Rattus norvegicus: one gene and its partners. The protein of the gene in region 1 interacts with the protein of each later gene in a biochemical or structural test. Links are inferred from orthologs where the notes say so. Each region holds a gene or a part of one and is shown on either strand. Other genes may lie near its edges.

What was found.
Region 2: the proteins of Stx1a (region 1) and Slc6a1 form a complex in vitro, tested with the Homo sapiens proteins (2 studies listed by BioGRID). The link is inferred for Rattus norvegicus from reciprocal best matches to the Homo sapiens genes STX1A and SLC6A1.
Region 3: the proteins of Stx1a (region 1) and Snap23 form a complex in vitro, tested with the Homo sapiens proteins (3 studies listed by BioGRID). The link is inferred for Rattus norvegicus from reciprocal best matches to the Homo sapiens genes STX1A and SNAP23.
Region 4: the proteins of Stx1a (region 1) and Stxbp5 form a complex in vitro, tested with the Homo sapiens proteins (2 studies listed by BioGRID). The link is inferred for Rattus norvegicus from reciprocal best matches to the Homo sapiens genes STX1A and STXBP5.

Annotation. Positions count from the first base shown.
Region 1 is NC_086030.1:27,279,665-27,282,793, forward strand, and holds part of Stx1a (syntaxin-1A), read right to left. Parts: intron 1,187-3,129; exon of another isoform or gene 1,104-1,186; coding exon 993-1,103; intron 164-992; coding exon 86-163; 3' UTR 1-85. UniProt on the Homo sapiens protein: Plays an essential role in hormone and neurotransmitter calcium-dependent exocytosis and endocytosis.
Region 2 is NC_086022.1:149,020,649-149,025,720, reverse strand, and holds the start of Slc6a1 (sodium- and chloride-dependent GABA transporter 1), read right to left. Parts: upstream 3,203-5,072; 5' UTR 3,149-3,202; intron 2,466-3,148; 5' UTR 2,379-2,465; coding exon 2,141-2,378; intron 1,821-2,140; coding exon 1,689-1,820; intron 1,573-1,688; coding exon 1,472-1,572; intron 536-1,471; coding exon 426-535; intron 1-425. UniProt on the Homo sapiens protein: Mediates transport of gamma-aminobutyric acid (GABA) together with sodium and chloride and is responsible for the reuptake of GABA from the synapse. The translocation of GABA, however, may also occur in the reverse direction leading to the release of GABA.
Region 3 is NC_086021.1:127,966,049-127,971,250, reverse strand, and holds the start of Snap23 (synaptosomal-associated protein 23), read right to left. Parts: upstream 3,366-5,202; 5' UTR 3,262-3,365; intron 2,283-3,261; exon of another isoform or gene 1-2,282. UniProt on the Homo sapiens protein: Essential component of the high affinity receptor for the general membrane fusion machinery and an important regulator of transport vesicle docking and fusion.
Region 4 is NC_086019.1:6,050,428-6,054,829, forward strand, and holds part of Stxbp5 (syntaxin-binding protein 5), read right to left. Parts: intron 2,872-4,402; coding exon 2,651-2,871; intron 2,214-2,650; coding exon 2,035-2,213; intron 1-2,034. UniProt on the Homo sapiens protein: Plays a regulatory role in calcium-dependent exocytosis and neurotransmitter release. Inhibits membrane fusion between transport vesicles and the plasma membrane.

The DNA of each region.
Region 1 (3,129 bases):
TGGGGAGGGCAACCCAGCTAGGTGCAGCAGCCAGGGGCCTCCTCAGGGAGACCCATCCAGAATGGAGCCGTGGGTGGGGTGGTTTCTATCCAAAGATGCCCCCGATGGTGGAGGCGATGATGATGCCCAGAATCACACAGCAAATGATGATCATGATCTTCTTCTGCAGGGACACAAAAGGAAGGCCTCAGAAGAGCAGTGGGAGAGACTGGAATGAGGGCTCATGCTGGGGCTGAGTGGTAGAGTCCCTGCCTAGAATCCCCAGAGAGGGGCTGGGGGCATGGCTGAGTGGTACAGCCCCTGTCTAGAATCCCCCAGTGAGGGGCTGGGGGCGTGGCTCAGTGGTAGAGCCCCTGCCAAGAATTCCCCAGTGAGGGGCTGGAGGTGTGGCTCAGTGGTAGAGCCCCTGCCTAGAATCCCCCAGGGAGGGGCTGGGGGCGTGGCTCAGTGGTAGAGCCCCTGCCTAGAATCCCCCAGGGAGGGGCTGGGGGCGTGGCTTAGAGGTAAAGCACCTGCTTAGAATCCCCCAGTGAGGGGCTGGGGGCGTGGCTCAGTGGTAGAGCCCCTGCCTAGAATCCCCCAGTGAGGGGCTGGGGGCGTGGCTCAGTGGTAGAGCCCCTGCCTAGAATCCCCCAGTGAGGGGCTGGGGGCGGGGCTCAGTGGTAGAGCCCCTGCCTAGAATCCCCCAGTGAGGGGCTGGGGGCGGGGCTCAGTGGTGGAGCTTTGGTCTAGCATTTCCTAGATCCTGGGTTCCATCCGCAATATGGAACCCCAATATGGAACAAATTAAAACAAAACAACCAAAAATCTGTAAAATAAGCGCTGGATTCTGGAGGGCCGGACTAGTATCAGGAATGGCCTAGAATGGAGTGTTGATGGAGAAGTGAAGGCTATGGTTGGAGGTTCTGAAAATGGGACAAGTAGGAGGGGAGGAGGATCCCACAGCTTGGGGGTTCTCTGGGGTATGAGTTTAGGCGGAGCTGGCCACTGACCCTGCGTGCCTTGCTCTGGTACTTGACGGCCTTCTTGGTGTCAGACACGGCCCTCTCCACGTAGTCCACAGCGTGTTCCACATTGTACTCGATCCTGTCAATCATCTCCCCCTGCAGGGCCAGGGGCACCCAAGGTCCAGGCCTCCCTCCTCAGGACCAGGAGAGGGTGCAGGGTAGGGGTTGAGGAAAGTACTCTGAAGTCAGAGAGAGAGAGAGGGAGAGAAGAGTTGTGTGAGGAGGGCACGTAGCTTCTCACCTGTGCCACTAGGCCTGAGTACAACATGCCAGGAGCAGCTCCCACCCGTCCCAAAGAGCAGCCATCCTGGGGTGTAGAATTGGCCATGCAGTCTCAGACAAGGTTGAGGACCATGCAGAGGGGGTAGTCAGCTGTGACCCTAGGAAATGGACAATGCCAGGCAAAGGCAGGGCAGGAGTGGGTGGGTCACAGTCTGTACTTCTCCTTGGCCAAAGCTTACCAGAAGAGCATGGGCAAGCCTCAGTGGTTGGGGGACAGTTCCAGAAAGCTCATGTCTGCTGTCTTCAGATGCTGAAACTCTCTGCCCAGCCCCCACAGTCCTCTTCGGATCCCATGTCTTTCATTTGAGTGTGACACTGTCCCACAAGACTTACAACCATGTTGGATCTCAGCCTAAGTCTGATGTCTTCTCCTCAGGGTTTCTCAGGAGAACCTGGCACAGTTTTCTCAGACCTGCCCACTGCTCATAACACACCTACCCCTAGAACCTTTGGTCTAGCCAGGCATGATCTGTGAGCCTAACACTCAGGAGATTGAGGCAAGAAGATCAGGAATTCAGGACTAGCCTGGGCTACATAGCAAAACCCTTTCTTTCTCTCTCTCTCTCTTTCTTTCTTTCTTCCTTTCTTTTTCTTTTTAAAAAATATTTAAGCGCTTACCTAGGAAGCGCAAGGCCCTGGGTTCGGTCCCCAGCTCCGAAAAAAAAAAAGAACCAAAAAAAAATATTTATTTATTTATTTATTTATTTATTTATTTATTTATTTATTATATATAGCTGTAGCTGTCTTCAGACACACCAGAAGAGGGCATCGGATCCCATTACAGATGGTTGTGAGCCACCATGTGGTTGCTGGGATTTGAACCCAGGACCTCTGGAAGAGCAGTCAGTGCTGTAGTCAGTGCTCTTAACCACTGAGGCCATCTCTCCAGCCCAGCAAAACCCTTTTTTATAAAGGTAAAAGAAATCATAAACACACAATGTCCCTGAAGACCATCACCAAATCAGACAGACAAACAAACAAACAAACAATAACAAAACCTCGACAAAGCCAGGTGTGGTAACAGCTAAAATCTTAGCACCGAGGAGACCCAGACAGGATCCCGAGTTCAAAGTCTAGCTTGGGCTAAACAGCAAGATTATTTCACAAAGGCAAAAGAACAAAACAAAACCAAAACTAAAAAGTCAACGGTAAAATCCACGTCAACGAAGGCAAACATGGTGGTTTGCCCCTGTGATTCCAGCTCTCAGCGATGAGGATTGCCACAGGTCTGAGGCCAAGGCTACAGAGGAAGACCCTGCCTCAAAACAAAAGCGAAGGGCTGGGGTGGAGATGTGACTCGGTTTTGGGAGGGCCCACATTTGATCTCCAGCACAATGTCGACTGAATACTGTCATACAGCCTCATCGTTTGGGAATGAGAGCCAAGAGGACAGTAGTCCAAGGACCAGAAGGGGAGGTGCCTTAGGGGATAAAAGCTGATGTCACCAAGCCAGAAACTCTCTCCTTTGAGCACAAATGGACATAGACACACAGACACAGACAGATACACAGACAGACACAGACAGCTACATAGACACAGACAGCTACACAGACACAGACAGCTACACAGAGACATATACACAGACACAGACACACAGACACAGATACACAGACACACAGACAGATACACAGAGACATATACACAGACACAGACACACAGACACAGACAGATACACAGACACACAGACAGATACACAGACACAGACAGACACACAGACACAGACAGACACAGACAGCTACACAGACACAGACAGATACACAGACACACAGACACAGATACACAGATAGACACAGATACACAGACAGACACAGACATAAAATTTTTTTTAAATAAAGTTCAG
Region 2 (5,072 bases), on another chromosome or scaffold:
CTTGTCTGAGATTGGAGAACAGATGACTGAGACTTCCCAAGGTCCACAGTTCACCCTTGCCTCTCAGCACAGCCCCTCACTGGGCACTCTCTGTAGCTGCCCCCCTCACTGTGCCTACACACATACTCCTTCCCACTGACTCAGTACCACTGACTCCCCGACCCTGCATGTCATGGTAAGCAGCCACATTCTCCTGCAGGCTGGTGCAGGCCACCTCCCCTACCCTGCACATCTTCCTGCCAATATGAGTTGCCTGCTGCTGTCATTGTCTATTGGCATTTTCGGATCTCACACAGTAGGTATTCAGGAGTGAATGGCTGAAGGAAAATTCACATTACCTGCTGCCACCCAGCTGGCACACACTCCCTATCCCCATCCCAGCCCCAGCCCAGCCCCAGCCCAGCCCCAGCCCATCCCCCACTCACTCCCAGAATTCCACCACGGCACTGGTCATGTTGGTGGTGTTGACCAGGCTATAGTTGGAGAAGCAGCGGTCAGTGTTCCAGGGGTTGTCACACTGTTTCCACGGCAGAGTCTGCAAAGGCAGAGTCACAGACAGAGCCTGCTCAGTCCCTGGGGCTGTCCAGAGAGGACTCCACTCACACAGCCCACTCTCGTCACCCCACGCACCTGCTCACAACCATCTTTCCACCTCTTCTTCCCAAGAGCTCTCAGAGACAGGTAGACAAGACTACACCACCCAAGTGTGAATTCTTGCCCCTCCAAGAACTAGCTCCCAAGCCATACTGTGTCCACCCCGTGACCCCAGTGTGCTGCTGAGCAGCACGGAGTACACACAGCTTTGCACAGTAGCTCTTACTAGGACCTTGGCCTCTTTTACTCACTAACTCCTCATCCTTCAGGCTCCCCCATGATGCCTTCTGTCTCCTTGAATCTGACCACTTTAAGAAGCACACGCAGGCAGAATCGCACAGCATCCACTTTCTGTGATGGCCTTAGCATCTTCAAACGTCTTTCACACCCATAGTACATGGGCCAGAGTTTCTTCCTTTTTTAAGGCCAAATAATACTCCACCACACACGCGTGTGCTCAGTCACATGTGTTCCCTGGGGACCCAGGATTGCTTTTGAATGGCTCTTATAAGACATGATGCTGTGAACATATGGGCATAGACCCCAATGTGTCTGAGACCCTGCTTTTGCTTCTGTGGATCACATTTATAAATGGGGTCGGTGAGGTCTCAGAGAAGTTAAGGCTGGCTCCTGAAGTTGCACAGCTGATAGACAGTAGAGTTAGCGTTCAAACCCGCACCAGCTGAGTTCACACAAAATGGCAATTGGATCCAGTTGTGGGATGCCTGAGGCGCTAGATTGCAGCTCTCAGCGTGGCTGGTTGGGGAAAACACTGTAGGAGACGACCTACACCCCTCACTCCTCATTCAAGGACTGACCCAGTAAGCACACTGTAGATTCCCACAGCCTAGGTAGGCCCTGACCAGCAGCCACTCACCGTGGTGAAGGAGTTGTACAGGTAGTAGATGGCCCAGGAGATGATGACAATGTAATAAATGTTCAGCCAGAAGGACAGCACAGCTGCCGCGAGGCCCACACCTGAGGTGGAACACGCACAGGGCTTGCTGAGGCATTCTTAGAAACGGGCTCAAGACTTCCTTTGCTCCCAAGGACCTTGGGTAAGGCCCCTCCACATGCCCAGGTCCCCCACTCACCCTTGAACATGGGAGCCAGCTTCCATACGCCCAGGCCCCCAATGGAGGTGTACTGGCCTAGGGAGCACTCCAAAAGGAAGAGAGGAACACCCGCAAAGATGAGCGTCAGGAAATATGGAATTAGGAAGGCCCCTAGGGAAGAGAGACACACTCATGATCCTGAGTCTTCCCAGCAGCTTTGAGGTTCCACATACCATTCCCATGTGTCCTGCCTGGAAAGCAGTATCCAGGGCTAGCCTTAAAAGCATGCTTCATTCAAATTGCGTCCCAGCTCTTGCAAAAGATACCAAAGTTCTGACATCACTGCTACAGACAACTGTCCTTGGCGACTGACTCTTGAAGAGAGGGCAAGGGGTGACAAATAGGGCCCACCCTCAAAGATCCTCCCTTCCCTCAAGGTAGACCCAGAAGACGCAAAGACCTGGTCCCGAGGTCACCAGGTGGCCACCTACCACCACCGTTCTTTCCGCAGAGATAAGGGAACCTCCATACATTGCCCAGGCCGATGGCGTAGCCCACACAGGACATGAGGAAGTCGAAGCGTCCCTTCCATGTGTCCCGGTCAGGGAGGTCTCCAGCCTTCTTCTGCACCTTGACTACAAGGGTTTTGGGCTTGTCACTGGCCACAGGAGCCTCGCTGACCTCGGTAGAGATCTGCCCATCAGCCACCTTGCTGTTGTCAGTCGCCATGTCTCGGAGCACGAACTTGGCAGCAGGGATCCTGGCGGGCAGGCGTGCGATGTCAGCTCCAGTCCACGTGGACAGCAGCTTTGCGGCCTGGGATTGTTGTAGAAGGACAGAGTGGGTTATAGTCCTACTTAGTACTAGGACTTAACGACTCCTGCTGATTCTGTCTTGTGTGTGTGTCCCATTTATATGGGACAGGGGTCAACCTTGGATAGCATTCCTCAGCATCTGTCCATTATTTCTGAGACCATGTCTTTTGCTAGCCCGGAACTCAAGGTATAGGCTAGACCGGCTGGGGATCCTCCTGTGTCTGCCTCCCCAGTGCTGAGATTACAAGTGTGCACCCCCACACCTAGCTGAGTGTGGGAAGCACAAGCACATCTGAGAACACACAGAGATGCCAACAGAAGCTGTTGGGACTCCACCTCTAGGGCCCCCAGTTGTGGTCACTTGAGACGTGGTCTCTCCTGAACCTAGAGAACATGATTCTTTCAGCTACACCAGCAGCCAGCAAGTGCCAGCAGTCCTTTTATTTCTACTCCTCCTAGTGCCAGGGTGCCTGGTCTTTTTCATTGGTGCTGGAAATCAAACTCAGAGTCTCATGTTGATGCTTTGTTCAAGTACTTTACCAACTGAGCCATCCCCATGACTGCTCTGCACTTCAGTTTTCCCATCTACCCGATGGGGCCAGTCTCCTTTGGCTTGTCAAGTTGTGGCAAAGTCAGCTTTCAGGTCTGACAGGGTGCGATTCGTCACCTGGCTCCTTATCTTACCTAATAGTTCTCTGCTATGAGTCTTCTCCTAAAGGCTTTCTCCGCAGAGCCTGCAGAACAGAGAACAAGAAGGGCAGGGAGGTGAATGGGCAGGCTACACCAGGCTGGACTGTCAGCAAGGGGGCAACAAGCAGGGGGAAGCCGCTGGGACCCAGGCAGTGCCTGCAACCGCAGAGCATCCCCAGCCAGAGTGACTGCCGTGAGTCCATGCAGCATGGCACTGGCCTGCCGATGCAGAGACATGCAGGATGGGCTGTGTCGGGACAGCTGTGGCGATGGGCAGGGTGTTCCATAATTTTATCAAAGGGAAAAGAGGAGCCGGGTGGCACAGTGCTTGGGCATGTTGGGAGTCAGGGAACGGGCTGATCTTTTCTTTAATGTACAAAATTAAAGTTTATTCTAGCTGATATTGTTCTCCACCCTCCTTATAAACTTGCAGAAATGTTATTTAACAACCAAACAAACGATGTCAGAGCAGAGAGAGGAGCCCTATATTTTATAGCAAGGAAGGTGGATTTGGAAGTCTTCCTCAGATGTCCTATTTAAGGTTCTGCTCCCTAAATGTGGAAATAGATGGTCATGGAATTTGTTTTCTTCTGTGTCAACTTTTTTTCTAGAATATTCTATAGAAGCTGTCCAGTAAAACGACACCAACTAAACTTATGGAACCCTCAGAACAAACTGGAACATAGGAAAGAAGTGCTGCTCCATGGGCCCCACATAGGAGATAAGCAAAAGCCATGGCATGGGCGTTGTGCCTGGGATCTACCCCGGATGCCCGGTGTGAGGTGCATGGCCTTCAGCCCCTCGCATGCAACCTATTACCCAGCACCATGTATCCTCCTCGCGGGAATACTTCACGGCCACCCCTGCTTCTCCTCCATAAGGTGACCGACTCAGTTTGAGCCTCCCGCACAGTGGTAGGCTTGTCTTGAATGATTATCTCCATTCTGGCCGGGTCTGACCACATTAGGGAGAACTGTGGCCTCAGGTAGAGGTAGGCTGTACCCTCCAGGGCGGAGAGAACGGGAGGTGGAAGACAGGGCCTGCTCCAGAATCAGGATATGTAGACTGCCAACTCAGGCAAGACAGACAAACATGCTAGCTTCTTTCGTGACCACAGTGTCCTCAGTTGTAGGCTCCAGCTGCCGTATTTATTCATAATGATCCAATCACCTCAGGCCAGTCTGACCATGTGACCTAGGCTAGCCAATCAGATTCCTTCCCTGAGATTCTGGTTGAGAAAACAAAAGTCTTGGGACTCCGAGGCATGTGGGCTGCCTGGCTACTCAGCTCCTGGGATGCCTTTAAGTGTCGTTTACTATGCCTTGAACAAGACACTTCAGAGGTCAGGGTGATTATGAGGCGTGGCTCCTACCAATGTCCTTGTCGCTGGAGCAGGTTGTTACAAAAGCGAGTTCCACCTTTTAGGCCTCTCTTACCATGTCTCAGGAAGACAAGAAGGCGCTGCTGATGCCCCTAACTCCCGTAGACTCTCGGCTTCCAGGACCGTGATCCTCCAGCCATTATCTTTCACTGGCCTGTGGCATTCTTTGTTAGAAGTACTGGTGGACAAAGGTGTCCCCATGTGGCTGGCTCTAAGACTCCTTGGCCCCTTGGGTCCTCAGGAAACGCAGTCCACAGTCCTCAGATCCAACTCAGGAGTCCCAGGCAGAGCCACTTAGAAGAATTGGCTCTGAGGGAGCCTTGCTGTCATTTCTGTTTTCCAGAAACGTATGTCTGGATTCAGCCGAACACCTGCAGCATCCGAGAAGGAGCTGCAGAGCCAAGAGCTGTGATTTCATGTCTATGTCTGAGCATAAATGAAAGGGGTTGGTGTGATGGAACTGATGCCCAGGGAAGATCCAAGATTCAGACTTGGACTTGCCTGGTACCAAAGCCACTTTAGTGTTGAGCCTGACCT
Region 3 (5,202 bases), on another chromosome or scaffold:
CTATGCTACCAGCACGAGAACCTTATCCCACCTAGAGCAGCCACCCAATTTACTTAGCCTGTTTATGTGATAGTTTTTTAGATTTACTAAAAGTTCTTCCCAGAATTGTTTCTAAAATCAAATGCACATTAAGTGCTTAGCACGGTACCAGCCAGAAGTATAAGTTATCAATGAAGTGAATATTATTTCTTTGATGATGATGATTTGAGATAGTCTTCCTATGTAATCCAGACTTGCCTTGCATTTCAATCCCCCTGCTGCGGCTTCCTGAGTGCTGTGATTATAGGTGTGCGCTGCGCCATGCCAGAGTGCTGACACTCATGCTAAGTCACGGTCTTTACCTGCAGTCCTGACTCCTAGTATCGAACGTTTGAGCAGAAAATCAGGAAACTCCTACATAAACTTGGAATCAGCCAAGGCCTTGGGTAGTTTGGGTACATACACTTTAGGTAAGATGAAGTCTTGTCGATCATCCTTAACCGATAGAAGACATTCAATGCCATGAGTGCCTTCATTCTAAGCTCTAGATCAGTGGTTCTCAATCTTTGGGTTGAGACCCCTTGGGGGTTGTATATCTGATATCCTGCATATCAGATATTTACATTATGATTCATAATAGTAGCAAAATTAGTTATGATGTAGCGATGAAATAATTCTATGGTGGGGGGATCACTACAACATAAGGAACTGTATGAAAGGATCACAGCATTAGGAAGGTTGAGAATCTCTGCTACAAATGTACAAGTATATGTGCAACATACCTATGCACTGTTTACTTCTAGAACCCAAAGAGAAATGGTAAGGAATGGATTCAAGAAAATAAATCAGGGGCTGGAGAGGTAGCTCAGTGGTTAAGAGCACTACCTACTCTTCCAGAGGTCCTGAGTTCAATTCCCAGCAACCACATGGTGACTCACAACCATCTATACTATGATCTGTGCCCCTCTTCTGGCATGCAGGTGTACATGCAGATAGAACATACATAAAATATTTATTAAAGAAAAAAAAAGCCAGAACTTCAGATATAGATCATAAGTCAGCAGGCAAAATAACTTGATTTAGATTCCCTCTAGAACTATATTTTACTAGTATATTCCATTTTTTATGGGGTGGGGAGTGAGTGAGCTTCAAGTAGTCCAGGCTGGTCTCAAACTCTCTGCATATGGCTGGTAAGATGGCTCAGCAGGTAAGCAAGAGCTTACCATCCAACAATACAAGCCTGTTAATCTGAATTCAATCAACCGGGAACCACACGATAGGAGAGAACCAATCCACCAAAGTTGTCCTCAACCTCCAAGTCCACACCAAGGCACACCCCTCCCTACAAATAACTATCTGTAATAAAAATAATTCAAATCCTACGTAACAAGTTGGTGTTGCATTCCTGATCCCTTGTGCCAACCTTCTAGGTGTCTGGCCTATTGGCATCCATCATCACACTGGAGCTACATTTCATTTCTAATATGGTATCTAGAATATTCATGCATTTGGCCATGCACTAAACCCCATTATCCTCGTCTAAACAGTACTAGCTTCTGTCTTGGTACACTTTTACTATTGCTGGAGCAAAAGACTGTAAGCAGAGCAACTTACAGAAGAAAGCATTTATTTGACCATCATGGCCAAGGAGCAAGGCAGCAGGAAGAGAGGAAGCTTGAGCAATAGCTGAGAGCTCATATCGCAAACCACCACCAGACTGAGAGAACTAAGAGACTGAAAGAACTAATATATGTCTATTGTTTGATTGTTGTTTTGAGATGGGGTTTCGTGAGGTCACTGGGGCTGGCCTATATAACCGCCTCAGAAGTATTAAATATGTTATTATGGAACACTGTTCTCAGAGCATAAATAACCATTACCATCTTAATCAGAACAACTGGAATTACTCACAAAAGACTCTCTGGATGGGCCTGTTGATGTTCCCTGATAGAAGATGGGGTGTCACTGGACTCTCACCTGGAACTCTAGTCACTCACTCCCAATTCTGGCCCAATTTCACTTGGTTTTATAAGTTGCTACAATGTAGAAAGGGGACCCCACCCAAAAAGAAGCCACCTAAAAATCAAAATAAAACAAAAGGTCCTACTGAGAATGATAATTATTTAAGGTAAAGGCTAAATTTAACCATTTAACTTACTTTAATATGACCTATTCCAGAAGCATTGTGGGGGGAGGGTGTGAGTGTGCATGTCTTTAATTTCAGCACTTGAGAGACTGAGTTCCAGGCCAGCCTGAGCTATATAGTGAGATCATTTCTTTAAAAAAAAAAAAAAAAAAAAAAAAAAAGGTGCTTTAACAAGTATTGCCTTACTGGACCAGGCTGACTCAAACTCACAGATATCCATCTGCCTCTGCCTCCCAAGTGCTGGGACTAAAGGTGTGCACACCACTGCCCAGAGCCTCACAGAATTTAAGCGTAGTATTTTCCAAGAAAAATAAAAAGAATGTGAGAAGGATCTGTTTTTATCTTGCTATGACTGAACTATTAGCATTTTACTTGGACATCTCAAAACCCTCTTAAAAGGCAGCAGGGCAGATGAAGTTATTTCAATCCTTAAAATATCTTTAAGTAAGAAATTATACTATTTTCATAAGGCTGAGAACACTCTGTCAAAAAGCTGTCAGTTTCTGAACTCTCCTTCAATCACCATCCCTGCCCCCAGCCCAAACCTACCCAGATGACAAACAGCAAAAGGGAAAGATCTTTTTCCTCAACTCGGATGTTTTTCGCTTCCTCTACCACCAGTTTGTTTTTCCTAGTAGTGGAGTGACTAATGATAAAGAACGAAGGAAAGAAGTGTAACAGTACTTTAAGATACTTTTCTCACACACAAACCGAATTGGGGAAAAAAAAATTGCTCTTGCCTGACCATATTCTTGGTGCTTCCCCATGGGGAAGACTCAAGGTAAGCAGGGAATTTTCCTAGACAGTGAAGTCTGCCACGCCAGGAGCCTCGGGGTCATTCTTCTAACAACTATTTCAGAACTATGTGTTCATTAAGGCCACCAGACAGTCTGTTAATACTAACGAGAAACGCCGTGAGGCTGGAGGTGAGGGATGAAGAGCCTATCTACACAAGTCCAAGGCACCACCATAGCGCCTCCCTTCCTGTGCGGGATTCGCGCTGGTCGCCAACGCCTGGCGATTTCGTTCTCGGCCCAATCACCGAGAACTGGCCGGAGCTCCCTTCTCCCCTCCAGTCCGACCCCCAAAACGTTGAACCACCACCACACCCTCTTTTTCCTTGGACATCATCCTACCTGTCCCGCTGACCAGCTCACTCAGCTACTTTTCAGAAGGCTCACCCGGCTGCTCCAGCCACTCCTCTCCGGGCCCCGCTGCTCTTGGACTCTCTTAAGATCCGACAGGGTGCGTAAGAGTGCGCAGGCGCCCCGAGGATCTGTGCGCCTGCGCACTCGCAGGGCTCCCGCGGGGCAGACACACCTCTACCGCTGGAGCCAATCACCGCAGGGGGTGGGCGTGGACTTAAATCGCCTGCCACGCAGGCGGAGATCCTGGGAACTCACCCGTTAACCTTACCGGTTCTCCCGTTGGAGAGAAGGTGGGAGGAGTTCGTGCAGCCATCCTCGCTGAAGGCAGCTGTGCCCTGAACGTCTTAGTGTTTGAACTACAATTACTGCCAAAGCCTACAGGATGTTTTGGCATCTTTAAACCAGGGAAATAGATGCGTAAACACATTTCAATTAACAGAATACGGTCATAGAAATTCCGAGGCGCCTTTGTCCAACAATGAGCAAAACTTTTACCTTGAGGAATGCCTGTAAGATTGACGCAGGAAGTTGCTCTTAAAGTCACGAAGGATAAGTAGGAGTTCCTCCGGAAGTCTACGAGATAAGAGTTTTCCAGGCTTTGGGAACAACAACACGGCGCCTTCTGGAAGTTTCTTGAAATTTACTCTCGTTAGAAGCTTAAGAGTTCACTTTCTGAGACAAAAGAAAATGAAGGCATGGTAGCTCATACCGTGTTGTCCTCAAGCTATTAGAGGCTGAGGCTGGAGGATCACTTGACCTCTGGAATGTAAAGCCGGACTGACAACCTAGTGAGATCCATTCTTTCCCAAACCATTGTACTCTGAAATAGGAAAAGCTCTTTTATCCCTGAGACCATCACCACCAGGGCTGGGGATCAAACTAAGGAGAAAACTAGATCTTTAAAGGTCTTGTAGGTTTTGGAATGTTAAACCTAGAATTCGTTTTTATGGCCATTGAGTTACTGGAGGGTTTTAAACCACTTGCCCCAAGAATTCTTCCACGCACCTCTAAGAGTAAAGCAAAATGCTGGCAATCTAAGGAATAAAAAAAAAATATTTAAAAGAAATAGCTTAAGAGATAAAAGAAGTCTGAGAAATATCTTTTGAATTTAATAACTGGGGATTGGTGATAGTTGACAGACATTCCAATAGTTTGGAGAAGAGAAAGAAATGGGAACGTCATAAAATGCTTTTGGAAACTGGCTTTGTCAGAGAAAAAGGAATGATGTGTTTTATTTCTTTTTATTTTGTTGAGATGAAGACATAAGAACTCTAGTATGGGAGAAAAGACTCAACTGGGAAAAACAGTTGAATTTTTAAAAAATTGAGGGGGCGGTAATGATCTAGATAAAGATCTCGATAGGGTTAGAGCTGCCGTAGTCAAACCAGTGATGAGAGTTGGTGGTGGTGCACCTTCAATCCCAGCTCAGGAGGTGGAAGCAAGGGAATCTTTGTGTAGCCTGGTTTACATAGTAATTCTTTGTCTCAAAAGTAAGTAAATGAAATAAAACTTTGGGCTGGAAAGATGGCTGTTCTTCCACAGGACACCCATCTGGTAGTTCACAACTATCTGTAATTCAAGTTCCAGGTGATCCAAACCTTCCTGAACCTCTATAGGCACATGTACAAGGATGGTAAACAGGCATTCATGCAGGCTAAACACCCATACTAAAATATAATTTAAAAAATCAACACTAGGGGTTGGGGATTTAGCTCAGTGGTAGAGTGCTTGCCTAGCAAGCGCAAGGCCCTGGGTTTGGTCCCCAGCTCTGAAAAAAAGAAAAGAAAAGAAAAAAAAAACAACAACAACACTGATAGGAGGTCTAGAACAGTGGTTGAAGCCTATAATCTCAGCATTAGGAGGTAGAGAGGCAGATCAGAAATACGTCATCACTGACTATATAGTGATGTTGAGGTTAGCAACCTGAGG
Region 4 (4,402 bases), on another chromosome or scaffold:
GTCAGTTGGGTCATTATTTTATAATATATTTTATCATGATTATGCTATACTTAAAAATTATGTTTTAAAACTCTATTGTAATTTAAACCTGTATTCTGATATGCAAATATATCTGACACTAAGATTATTAACAAATTCTAATCATTTAGTGAAGAAAAGAAAAAAAAAACCACACCAGACATACAAAGCTCAGCTAGACCCTCACGACTAGCACATGTCCCCCTGTGGTCCCACACCTACACCTCAGCCCAGTGAAGCCAACAGGACTCTTTCTCCACAGAGCATGGTGCTGCTCAGGTAGAACTCCTGATCCCCTCAAGAGCTACTTTAGACTTCCACCCTGGCCCGAGTCACATGCGTGAGGGTAAGATGAGGGCGTGGACTAGGTCATAGTCTGCGGTAGCAGTTAGACTCCATGCTGTGTTCAGTTTACTGGTGGGGGTACTAACAAGATGTCCTGGTTATTAACTTATTCTCTGTGTTCTTTCAGTCAGTACAAAAACTAGGAAAACACTCACCTAAGCAAAGTCAGAGGACAGAGACTCGCTTCCGACACCTGCTTTTTATTTTTATCTGAGAAGTCAAGGTCAGAGGTCTTGCTACTCTGTGTCCCTTGTCATAACTATTCCCTAGCCTCTCTTGGCATGGAAAAACAATTTATTGATGGTCCTTACCCTTGGGTAGGAAACTGATTTCTTGTTTTAGACTCCTGAATATATTTATAAACATGTAGAGGTACAAGTACTTTCAAAGCCTGAATTAAAGTATTCTAAGTTTGTTGATGTGACACAATTATCCCACATTTTATGTAATAACATTGTGCTAAATGTTTTAAAAGATTACTTCATATAACTAACATTACCAAATGCACATAAAAGATAAATTATACTTTAGCCACCTCTAAAATGATCAGAAACTAAAAACATAAAACCAAAAATCATAGTAACATTTACAAATTTAGTGTTAAAGTAGTACTGAGTAATAAAAGAATAAAAAGCATAAAATTCCGTGTTTCACTCTAGACAATATATGCTGTAACTGTAGCTAAAAGGAGATGTGTGTTTTTGAAACACATTCTGAAGTGCGTGGGAGAGGAGGCGGCATAGGACGGGAAGGGTGAGCATAGAGAGGTGGTGAAGGAGTCATGGGGACCCTTGGACTCCCCCATTCTGAAGGAAGCAATTCTTTGCTATGCCCACTGCAGACGTGACCCTCATCTCAGGCTTCCCTCTACCAACTCAACATCAACAGCAGATCCCACGCCCTGTTGTAAAACTAAAAATGTCTCCAGACATGGTACATATCCTGAGACAGGCAACATCATCCTTACTTGATAATCACTCATTTAAAATCTATGCTCTCAAGTTTTCAAGAACCTATGAACTTCTGTAAAGAGTGAACTTTAAACATACTTGTGATTTTTCTTTAAGTCTGTTTGCCTTTTGGGGGCGTTGCTTTTTTATTATATGGCCATTCTGATGCCAATCACCATGTACTCAGTAGTAGAAGAGATTCTGGAAGATCTACAGTAAAAGTGACAATGCCTAGTTCTTTAGTTAGAACGAATGGTGTCCTGTCGACCTGTCTACTCTGAATACCCCATGAAAAGGATCTTGTCCCACTGTGACTTCCGATACTTTCCATGTAACACTGCGAGTCATACAGTCTTTGTGCAACTCAATGACTCTAATTATTTACATTGCTTTATTCCTCTATATCCTAAGAATTTAACTACTCAAAAATATTAACTAAACAGAAAAATGAAGACAAAACATTTATTTAATTTATCCCTGCATTAACAAGTATGGTCTTAAAATGATGCAAAAATAAAGTCTTTTAAGTAACAATAAAGTGACACTATGATCCGAGAAGAGAAAAATCCAACGTGAGGATGAAAGGAAGCAGGACCCTCAGGCTTTAGAGAAGACGCCCACGAGCCACATTAAATGTAGATCCTGACTGAGACCGTGGGAAGGCCTAGTGCTACGCATTACGAGGTAACATATAGAACAGACCTACATTCTTGCAACTTACTTTAAACACGGTACATTATCTCGAAGCCCGTCCGATGAGCTGCTGCTGGTAGACGGATGAGACTGAGGGGGGATGGGCTGAGAGGTGGAGCTGCCCACGGGAGTGGACAAAGGGGGTGGCTGCTCACCCTCCGGCGTTTCCACATCATTTATTTCATATAACAGTCGGACTTCAAGCATCTGTCATAAAAAAAATGGCTGTTTACCTATTACTAATAGTTAATACTCATTGTATTATAACGTACCAGAAAAAATATTTTTAAAAGTTAAAAAAAAGAAAAAAAGCTATATTTAAAAGTAAAACAAGAGTTTTGACTAAATTTTTAAAAACTTGTGTACATAGATATGAGTTCACATATGTACCCACATAAGCATCATGGCTATAGAATATATTGGATACCAATAAGTTGATATTCCTTAAGTAAAAGATATAATACCCTTAAAGATTCAGATAATCCATTAAATTAGTGCTATTTTTCATAAAATATGTGGTGATTTAAATACTAATGTGCTTCCAAAATTTTTATACAAAAGCAACTGCAAACTGTTTACTAAACAGTTTTTAAAAGCTTAAAAATATCAGACAATTGATACGAAGATAGTTCTGAGGTGATTACCGGGATGACTTCTGTAACCACTTCCTGCTTGCTGAATCTATAAATGATGACATGAGCCGACACTCCGGCTATGCACAGCATTCTGCTCTCTGGGCACCAGGAGATGATCTGAATGGCATATGGATCTTCATCTACAATGTCGGTGTTCTGTCTGTCATCTTTATTTCTTGACTTTTCAAATACTTTAGATGTTTTTAATTTATACAGTACTTGTAGAGTTACTAGAAAAAAGTATATTACAAATTTTAGTTGAAAAATCAAAAATTGCTAATTCTTCTCTGCCACCGCTTTCAGATACTTCTTGCCCATCGCCATTTCTCTGTGACTGGCTCCCTGCAAACCATTAATCTCTCTTTATCAGTGACCTAGAATCTTCATACTTTGCTGCGATTTAGGAAGCCATAGGTTCCACAAATGGCTAGAACCCAGAGTGGGCAACAGCAGGCAAAGAATGGAACAACCACCCAGGACAAGATCAAATATCTACACCAAATAGCCGCGCTTTAAGAGTCATGACTCTAGATACCTAGACTCTGGTGTAAAATCACCAACATGAGCAACCAAGACAATATGCCTCCGTTAGGAGCTAGCAACCCTAGTGTAGCAGACACCCAGGAAAAGAATTTAACTGCAGCATAATACAAGGATGTAAAAATAGCAATTCTGAAAATGTTCAAGGCCATTAAAGAGGAACTGAATAAGTGCTTTAATGAAGGCTGACGATACAAATGGTTCAATGAAACAATGAAAGCAATCCACGACATGAAAGTAGAATTTATCAAAACTAATGAAAACTAATGAAATGCAAGCAGAAATAAAACTCAGGAAGTCAAATTAAAATCTTACCTACAGATAAAAATGGAATAAATAATTTCAGGTCTTGAAGACAAATTAAAAAAACTGGATGGTTCAGTAAAAGAAAATATTAAATCTAAAAAAGAAAAATCCATAACCAGAACATCTAGGAGATCTGAAATACTGTGAGAAGAAAAAAAAATCTAAAAATAATAAGAGTAGTGATAGGAGAAGAAACCCAGATCAAAGGCACAGAAAATATCTTTAACAAATCCATAGAAAAAAAATTTACTCAATCTAAAGAAAGAGATGCCTATCAAGGTATGGGAAGCATACAGAACACCAGATAGACAGGGCCAGAAAAGAAATTCCCCCAACACACAGTACTCAAAACAATAAATGTATAGAACAAAAAAGGGCATTAAAAACTCCAAAGGAAAATGAGCAAGTGACACAAAGGCAGGTATGTGGGAATAACACATGACTTCTCAGTGGAGACTCTGAGAACTAGAAAGCTCTGAGACTATAATCTCTGAGAGACTACAGATGCCAAACTAAACCACCACATGCACCAAAATATCACAACTGATAGAGAAAGAAAAGTCATTCTATGATAAAAACAAAATCAAGTAATTATTGTCCATTAATACAACCCTGCAAAAAAACACTACAAGAAAAGTTTCAGTCTGAAGAGAAGGTTAACAGTTTCTAAGAGGATACTGGAATAAACAACACTAGAACAGTTCATCAAAGGAAAAAACAAAGAAAGAAGCTTTGCTGCTACTACAGCAAAATAACAGGAACTTACAGACAAATCACTGATAGCTCTCAATAGTAATGGTCTCAATTCCCCAATAAAAAGACATAGGTTAAGAGAATGGATTAGAAAATATGATCCATATTTCTGATGCATCCAAGAAATACATCTCACCATCAAGGATAGACATTACCTTAGGG